Drosophila melanogaster: one gene and its partner. The protein of the gene in region 1 purifies or fractionates together with the protein of each later gene. This does not show direct contact. Each region holds a gene or a part of one and is shown on either strand. Other genes may lie near its edges. The genes, in order: E(spl)mbeta-HLH and dgrn.

Evidence for each region.
Region 2: the proteins of E(spl)mbeta-HLH (region 1) and dgrn purify together in Drosophila melanogaster (affinity purification with western blotting, with the first as the bait; one study listed by BioGRID). This does not show direct contact.

What each region holds. Positions count from the first base shown.
Region 1 is NT_033777.3:26,004,279-26,008,040, reverse strand, and holds E(spl)mbeta-HLH (enhancer of split mbeta, helix-loop-helix), read left to right. Parts: upstream 1-2,017; 5' UTR 2,018-2,147; coding exon 2,148-2,735; 3' UTR 2,736-2,995; downstream 2,996-3,762.
Region 2 is NT_033777.3:5,822,882-5,827,190, forward strand, and holds dgrn (degringolade), read left to right. Parts: upstream 1-1,733; 5' UTR 1,734-2,067; coding exon 2,068-2,094; intron 2,095-2,151; exon of another isoform or gene 2,152-2,154; coding exon 2,155-2,563; intron 2,564-2,617; coding exon 2,618-2,707; intron 2,708-2,923; coding exon 2,924-3,357; 3' UTR 3,358-3,695; downstream 3,696-4,309. Other genes in the region: Sec20 (secretory 20), read right to left, coding at 824-1,426, 1,480-1,560.

The DNA of each region.
Region 1 (3,762 bases):
GGCACACTCGATGAATTCTATTGGGGGCACGTGCTCGTCCACTGGGTTTCCTCTAATTGCTACAATTGGTATTAATGATTCGAGTTACGACAGTGATTCAGTTGTTAAGCTAGAAAAGTCTTTCAGTGGCGTTTAAAGGCATTTATAGCTACTACATGAAAATTGGAACTTCCGAATTACAATTGGAGCCCCTATACTATTTAGCTTTTAATTTAAGCTAGTTGAATGAATGGATTATATAAATGGATTATATTGTTATTACAAAATATTTCTTAATTTAACGTGTTATCTACAATTGTAGCTAAATTGTTTTTAAAAATCTTTAAATTTTTGAAATATTTTTTCCATATTTTTTATAGTATTGTTTCTTTAATAATCCAATATGAATTACTTCTTAATTGGTTGTTGCAAATATCATGCGACTAACTCACCCCAAAAATGCAACCACCACCCTCTGACGAACAGTTTGACACACTGCCGACCCATAAAATCCAATTAAGCATTTCCGGAGCATTCAGCTTTTTGACATCAACAGTTTAAGTGTCCCGGTCCAGCGGACAAAACGTTTCGGTTAGATAAGTTGTTAGCCGTTTGTGTCTTGGCCCGTTTATCACCGTTGCTGCTTTGTTTCGGCTAACTGTAGCTCATTTCGAATGCGTCGAGGGGCAATCTTAATTTGTCTTATTTGAGTTTGAATTTATATACACATAGTGATCGAGTAGCTGCCGTCTCGGAGCTTTTGTTATTCCTTATTTGTGTGCCAATGAGCCGGGCTCGTGTCATTTTCAATGAACGCCAGCGAGCGTCATCGTCGCCGGCACTTCTAATTAAATGTTGAGAAACCCGAGCTTAGGATCCGAGATGTGTCAGATGCCGGCGGATGGAGATCTAGCATCTCAAGCTGATGAATCACGACGATATAGCGTTAAAAATAAATACCGAATGTGCTAAATGTGTATACATACATATACATATATCGCGTATAGCCCACGAGCCATAACATTTATAGCGTGTGCTGGCAACAGCCATTACGATTGTAACCGACTTTCGCGCACACGTCGACTTCGATCGGTTCCCAGCCCGAAGTCGCTATGGTAATTGTCTACAAATAGAAGCGAGCGACGACCCAAGATCCCCAAGCGAACCCAAAACCCCCAACCGAACTGCAGCTGATCCCCAAACGATCCCCAACCGACAATCAAGAATAATCATGTAAACGAAAAGCGTAATGCTCGTCCCACGAAACCCACGACTACCACGATCCAATCAATGATCCATAAAGCGCTAACAAAAAAGCAAGAAACAGAAACACTGGCCCGTCTCGGGTTGGCCCGATGACGATTCCACAATTATCAGCGTGCCATAAGCTACTGCAAAAGGGTGAAGGCACATGGCAAGACTTGAGACCGAACCGAACCGAACCCAACCGCACCGAATTGAAGCCCAAAAGACCGGACCCCGACCATAGTCGACCATACAAATGAATTGAAATGCAAACATCTTGTTATGGATGGAAGGCATGTGCTCGCCTCGCATCGTATCTGGGATCCCAAGTCGCACAGACCTCTTAAAGGCGGCCCGTCCATCCGTCCGTCCGCTCAAGAAAGACGGTGGACGGAAAGACGAGGGACGAGGGATCGTACAAGACCCCAAGCATGCACAATCAGAAGAAGTCAGGCCAGCCGTCGTCATCGTCGTCGTCGTGGAAATCGGCTGCGAAACAGTTTCCCACGGTATAACAATCACAGCACATACATAAGGAGGGAGGGAGAGAGAGCGAGAAGGCGCAGCCCGCTCAAGTCATTTTATTGCCCTCACATATACAGGCAAAAGTATACAAAAAAACAGAAGCCACCACCACCACTACCACAACCAAGCACCACCAAGCCATCTGAAACCACCGCTGGCAACAGCAGCAGGCCGCGCACGAGGCAAAATGAGTGTCCCGCTCGCACTCACTGTCCAGTTCCCAGGGCGGCAGAGGCTATATAAAGCCGATCCCAGAGCCAGCCGACTCATTCAAAGCTCCGACTTCGTTGCGTGCACACAGAGTCTCCGAGTCCGAATCTAGTGGAACGTTGCGACTGTGGATTACGCGAGTTTACTTTACCCCCAATAAAAAAAAAACAAAACCAAACTACAACAAAATGGTTCTGGAAATGGAGATGTCCAAGACCTATCAGTACCGCAAGGTGATGAAGCCCATGCTGGAGCGTAAGCGCCGTGCCAGGATTAACAAGTGCCTGGACGAGCTCAAGGACATCATGGTGGAGTGCCTGACCCAGGAGGGCGAGCACATCACCCGGCTGGAGAAGGCCGACATCCTGGAGCTGACCGTGGAGCACATGAAGAAGCTGCGTGCCCAGAAGCAGCTGCGTCTGTCCAGCGTCACCGGTGGAGTGTCTCCGAGTGCCGATCCCAAGCTTAGCATCGCTGAGAGTTTCCGTGCTGGCTACGTTCATGCTGCCAATGAAGTGTCCAAAACCTTGGCCGCTGTACCCGGAGTGAGTGTGGATCTCGGCACCCAGCTGATGAGTCACCTTGGCCATCGTCTCAACTACCTGCAAGTGGTGGTTCCCTCGCTGCCCATTGGAGTGCCTCTTCAAGCTCCAGTAGAGGATCAAGCTATGGTCACTCCACCTCCCTCGGAATGCGACAGCTTGGAGAGCGGAGCCTGCAGCCCGGCGCCCAGCGAGGCCAGCTCCACCTCTGGCCCCATGTGGCGTCCCTGGTGATCAACTGGACTCCGGATGATATTCACCTGAATCGCCTTCAAGCGGAAGGCTTCTACAAATTTGTTGCCCCAAAGAGGTGCTGGACTTGAAACCGCACCGAACTCCTTGGAGATCATCAATTGCTGCCCAGGAATAGCTTTCCCAGCAGCCCAGCAGAGCCACCGATCATCTCTAGCAGAGCCTCAAATTTCGGCTATAGAGATGGCTGCTGCTCACTTCTTAAAGTCATAAAGAAATGAAAATAAATGAAATTCCAACTCAAGAATCTCTGCATTTACTTATTTCCCATAGAGCTGATTACTCAGACTTCCCAGACATTTAGTGGGCGTCCAACCGCAAACTAAAGCAACTAAAAAAAAGAAACCCCTTAAAACAAGAAACGAATTGGAGATAAACTCCGTGGTGAACCGAATCGCAGAGCCCACAGCCGGAAGTCGCTGAATATTTTCCCACACTCGGACTATCGTCTGGTCTCTCCGGCTTGGCCTCATTATGCCCCGAGAATTCGGATTGCGAGGGTATGCGGGGCTTTCAGGGGGCATACAACATACATACGTATATCTGCGGGAAGTTTTGCGCCGGCGCTGTCGCAATTAAATAATAAAATAAAGCAAAAAGTCAGTTCTAGGAAACGGCATTTATTATGAGGCCCGCCGAGTGTGAGAACCGCGGCTCCGCTGTCAATGGCTCAGCATTGTGGTCATTGTGTTTCGCTTTTTTTTTAAGATTTTGCTCTTTTTTAGTTTTTTTTTGTTCAGGCTTTGACAGCTTTAACTGCGCTTGACCGCTTGGCACATGCGCGGACGGACCGGCGGTCAGACATTGCAAATTAAGCCCGCGACCGCGACCGTCTCGGCACTTAAGTCTTAAAACTCCAATACTGTATGGGTATGGATAGGGGCTGGGATTGGGGTAGGGGTATGGGGTATGTGTATCGGAGTGCGGTTCGATTACGGAACCTCGGATTCAGCGCCTTTGTCTGGCGGACAACTATGATGATGACTACTTACCAGGTCGTCTCGAGTCT
Region 2 (4,309 bases), about 20 Mb from region 1:
AAACCGAAATATTTTTTTTGAAACACTTTTAATGTTAATGTTACATCATATTAAGTCAAATGATTTAATAAATATACTAAATAATTAAATATGCAATTAAATTAAATTGCAAAAGTAATATCAAAGACAATAGAATTATTCTAGTGTCTTTGCTTTGTTCATATCTTGAGGCACGAAGTGCGGACACAAGCACTCAACAATCATTGCCTTATTAATTTTTCACACGCCGCAAGATGAATACTCTAATGACAAATATTCTTATATAAATTCATTTTTGAAATTTATTTTTGTGATAATATGTACATAGATTTGACTATTTCTAATCTATTTTCAAATAATAATAACGTTAAGGCAATGCAAAACAAGAATTTTTCGCATGGTGCCAATTGATAAAAAATAATATAGATTTAAAGCCAAAGAACTTCTAAGGTGAAGGGCATATTTTGTCAAATTTACAATGCATGTGAATACGTGTGCACACATACAGATGTCTGCTATCACTTTGTGCGTTGAAAAGAGCTGTTCGCTGTAGCGCTCTTCGCTCTCTCGCTCTCTAACAAAAATTCGAGAGAGCCTGGAGCCACCTCTAGAGCCACGGCCAAAAAATCGTGTGCCAAAAAATCGTATGGCGTTACGCATCTTGTTATTCTAGGGTCTTTGGCTGTACCACGTTTACAACTTAGGCAAATCACTAAATAATATAAATATAGGAGCTGTGCTTACAAGGTATGGTCATGTGCTAAGCTTAATCTAGCTATACCTAGACAACAGAAGCGACAACCTTAAGCTATTTTGGGAACGGGTTTTGTCCATTTGTGGAGTCTTAGAAGAGTCGCTTTTGGACGATGTAAAAGACACAGGCGAGGAACAAGGAGAAGGCGAAGAAGAGCAGCATTTTGTCAGTGCACTCGCGTCGTCCGTACTTTTTGAGCAGCTTGCCGGACATGCTAATGCTGCCGGCCGTGTGGTGCAGTTCGTCGCTGGTGGCCTCCACATTTTGCGACGAGGCCACGAGCGTTTCCAGGGTGATGGCGCTCTTCTGGGTGGTCTCCGAGAGGTGCCGCGATATAGCCAGCATCTTCTCGGTCACGTCGTTCTCCTGCGAAACCAGACTGCCCTGGTTGTGCCGCGCCCGTGTTGTGGTTCGTTGGCGTAGCTCACTCTCGCCGGTAATGGCCATTAACTCCTCCCGATTGGCCTTCTCGATCTCCAGCATCGTGGACACGTTTGCTTTTCGGAACGCCTGCAGCGTTTTGGAGAACTGATCACGGTGGTCGTCCACTTCATTGGCCAGCGCAGAGTCTGCCGTGTCCCGCGCCCAGTCGTCCAGCCGCTCGATGCTTTTGCGGATAGCAGACAGTTTGGAGCGGCCCGCTTCGTTCAGCTCCTCGAGTTCGGCGATGGAGGTGCGGCTGTTCAGGATGTCCTAAAAACAGAAGCTCGGTAATGAGGGTTTCTCTTCAGATAGCGGAGACTTACGTGTATTATTGCCTTAGCCTGCAGATTGTTATCGATAAGGTCCTGCCGTATGGCCTGTAATGTAAACGCATCCTTGTCCATGTCTCCAACTTTGTTTTGTTTCGAAAATATTCTATTATTCTGCTTTGGTGACGTGCATTTAACGTTAATTCCCGCAATTTTCTAACACTACCACGGCACGGTATATATCGATGGCATTTAATCGCCTAAAAAATATCGTTTACATAGTGATGGTATGGTTTTGTAATGTCGACATATTTATATACATTTCTTATAATTATTTTGTTATCAAAGAATTTCGCCGAAACGGAAATTTTATTTTTAATAAATTATTGATTTTTATTGAATTACAAGTGTCATTCTAAACAGCATTGTATAATACCGCAAAAATCGATAGTCGATCTTAAATCCTTGTTCCCGAATGTCCGTAAAGTGTCATCTTTAAAATAACCGAATGGTCGCGTGAAAGGAGGAAACTATTTTGCACATTTCAATCTGCACTAAAGCACATGTATATCTGGGTTCACCTGCTTTTGTCTTTACTACGAAATCATTTCACAAGTTTCCTGGTCATTTGTTGCTCGAACAATGTCAGATTCGACTATTTTCCGTTTTGTAAGTATACCCTGGACTTTAAACTAGTTAATTCCGATTTATGATTGATTTATTTAGTAGAACTCATCCATTCTTGATCAGTCAGCGGACAGCAACGTATCCAGTTCGAGCTCCAATTCCAGTGTATCCGACTCTTCTGTGGACTCCCATTCATCCATAGAATCCAATTCGGGACACAATACATCCGTGGAATCTCAGTCATCCGCGGAATCTGATTCATCCGCTGATTCCCATTCGTCCTTGGAACGCCCATCCCCAGTGGAGCGTGATTTATCTGTGGAATCAGACTCATCTTCAGCCACCAATACCAGCGAATCTTCAGTCGGAGAAGCTTCAAACCAACTGCAGTCACCGCAAAGCAATAACCCCTTAAATATGGCTAACTTGTCTGTCTCGACTGAAGATGCTCATTCGCAGATCAGATCACTTACCCAGGATGTGATCCAGATGGAAGCAGAGTTGGATCGCAGTATGTCACTCCATAATCATTACGAAGTTTTCTGTTAATTGTTTCATATTTCAGTGAATCGCTACTGCGAGGAAGTTGTGGCACAGATTGACACCTTCGCCACGAGAACCTCAACGCCAACAACTCGTAGAATTCGCCGCAGAAGTAAGTGCAGATCAAAATGAACGCATCTGGGTTTCACAATGAACAATGTTTTTAATTCCACAATAACCAATGACATAGTTCTTTCTATAACCCTGCCGGGTTACTTACTTTTGAAGGCAAAATTTATCTATATTTTTTAAAATTTTGTGAAAACCAGATAGCTTTCGCGGATAGAGCTAGCAATAAACCGAATACCGTTTCTTACTTTTTCCGTAGCGAGTCCAGTAGAAGTGATAGATCTGTCCCATTTGGACCGTGCACCACCTGTTCGATCCGCTCGGAATCGTGATCCCGATGCTTTCATCGATCTATGCACCCCCGAAGGCCCAAGAAGTCGCACAGTGAATCTTCACTCCAACGACTCCCTCACCATTCTGCCACGTCGGTCAGCCGAAAATGACCCGGTAGTGGATCTCGACGTTGCGTCGCCACCAAAACGCGTTAATCGCGACATTGATGAGTCCCAAAAAGAGGAGTTATACAAGTGCCCCATCTGCATGGACAGTGTATCGAAGCGCGAGCCAGTGTCAACCAAATGTGGACACGTCTTCTGCCGCGAATGCATCGAAACAGCCATCAGAGCTACGCACAAGTGCCCAATATGCAACAAGAAGCTGACCGCACGTCAATTCTTTCGCATTTACTTGTAAGTTGCTTATACTATTTCACATTTTTTGCTCTGTGAGCCTTAATATAATATAGTTTAAAAAAAAACGCTTAACTATGTTAGAGACGGCAAATAATGTCTGTTCTTGTGATTCAGAAAAAATTAGTTATTTAAGTTGTCCTATGTAATCAGTGGCGCCCAAAAATATTTGAATACAACTATAAAAACTAAAGACTTCACTTTTGATGTATGAAACCATCTCAGGCTAGAATAATATAAGAACGACCGAAAGGAGTGTCAAAGTATTATGTAGGCATTTTTCCAAACGCAATTTAACAATGTAACATACATATAATATAATAAATAAAATGGTCCCAACGCATATCAACAGGTTTGTCTCAATCTCATTTTTTATTGTTGGCTACTATTTTTTGAGACAGAAGTCAGACATGGAATTCTGAGATCATTAAAGGGTCGATAAAACAGGATAAATTGGAAACAGGTGGAACATGAAGTGTCTTTAAAGAGACTTTTTCCCTCCAATTTTGTATATATATAACAATATATTTTTTTTTTTTTAAACTTCATTCTATTTATTTTGGTTCCAAAAGGAATCGTTCGGTCAATTCCTCTGAACTTAACCTTATGTGTGTATAAAGGTATATTAGACCAAGTGGTTTCTTAATTATTAAGTACAAAAGGGAAAATGTATCTAGTTATTAATTACTTATTGTGTAAGGGTGTAGGGAGATCGGTGGGGTGTACCCTCTTCAGCCTTCGGAGGGAGATGGGATTAGATAGGCTATTTGCTAGTCGGTTCGGGTGGACCATAAGCCTGTCGGCATAACGGCTGCTGTGAAAATTAATCTGATCCCCAAGAGGGGTAACTTTCAGATCTCTTTCGATTACCTTGTTTGTCACGTACCAGGGGAGCCCAAAAGCACGACGTGCAGCTCTCGACTAGACGACACGGAGCCTATTGAGCTGGGATTTGG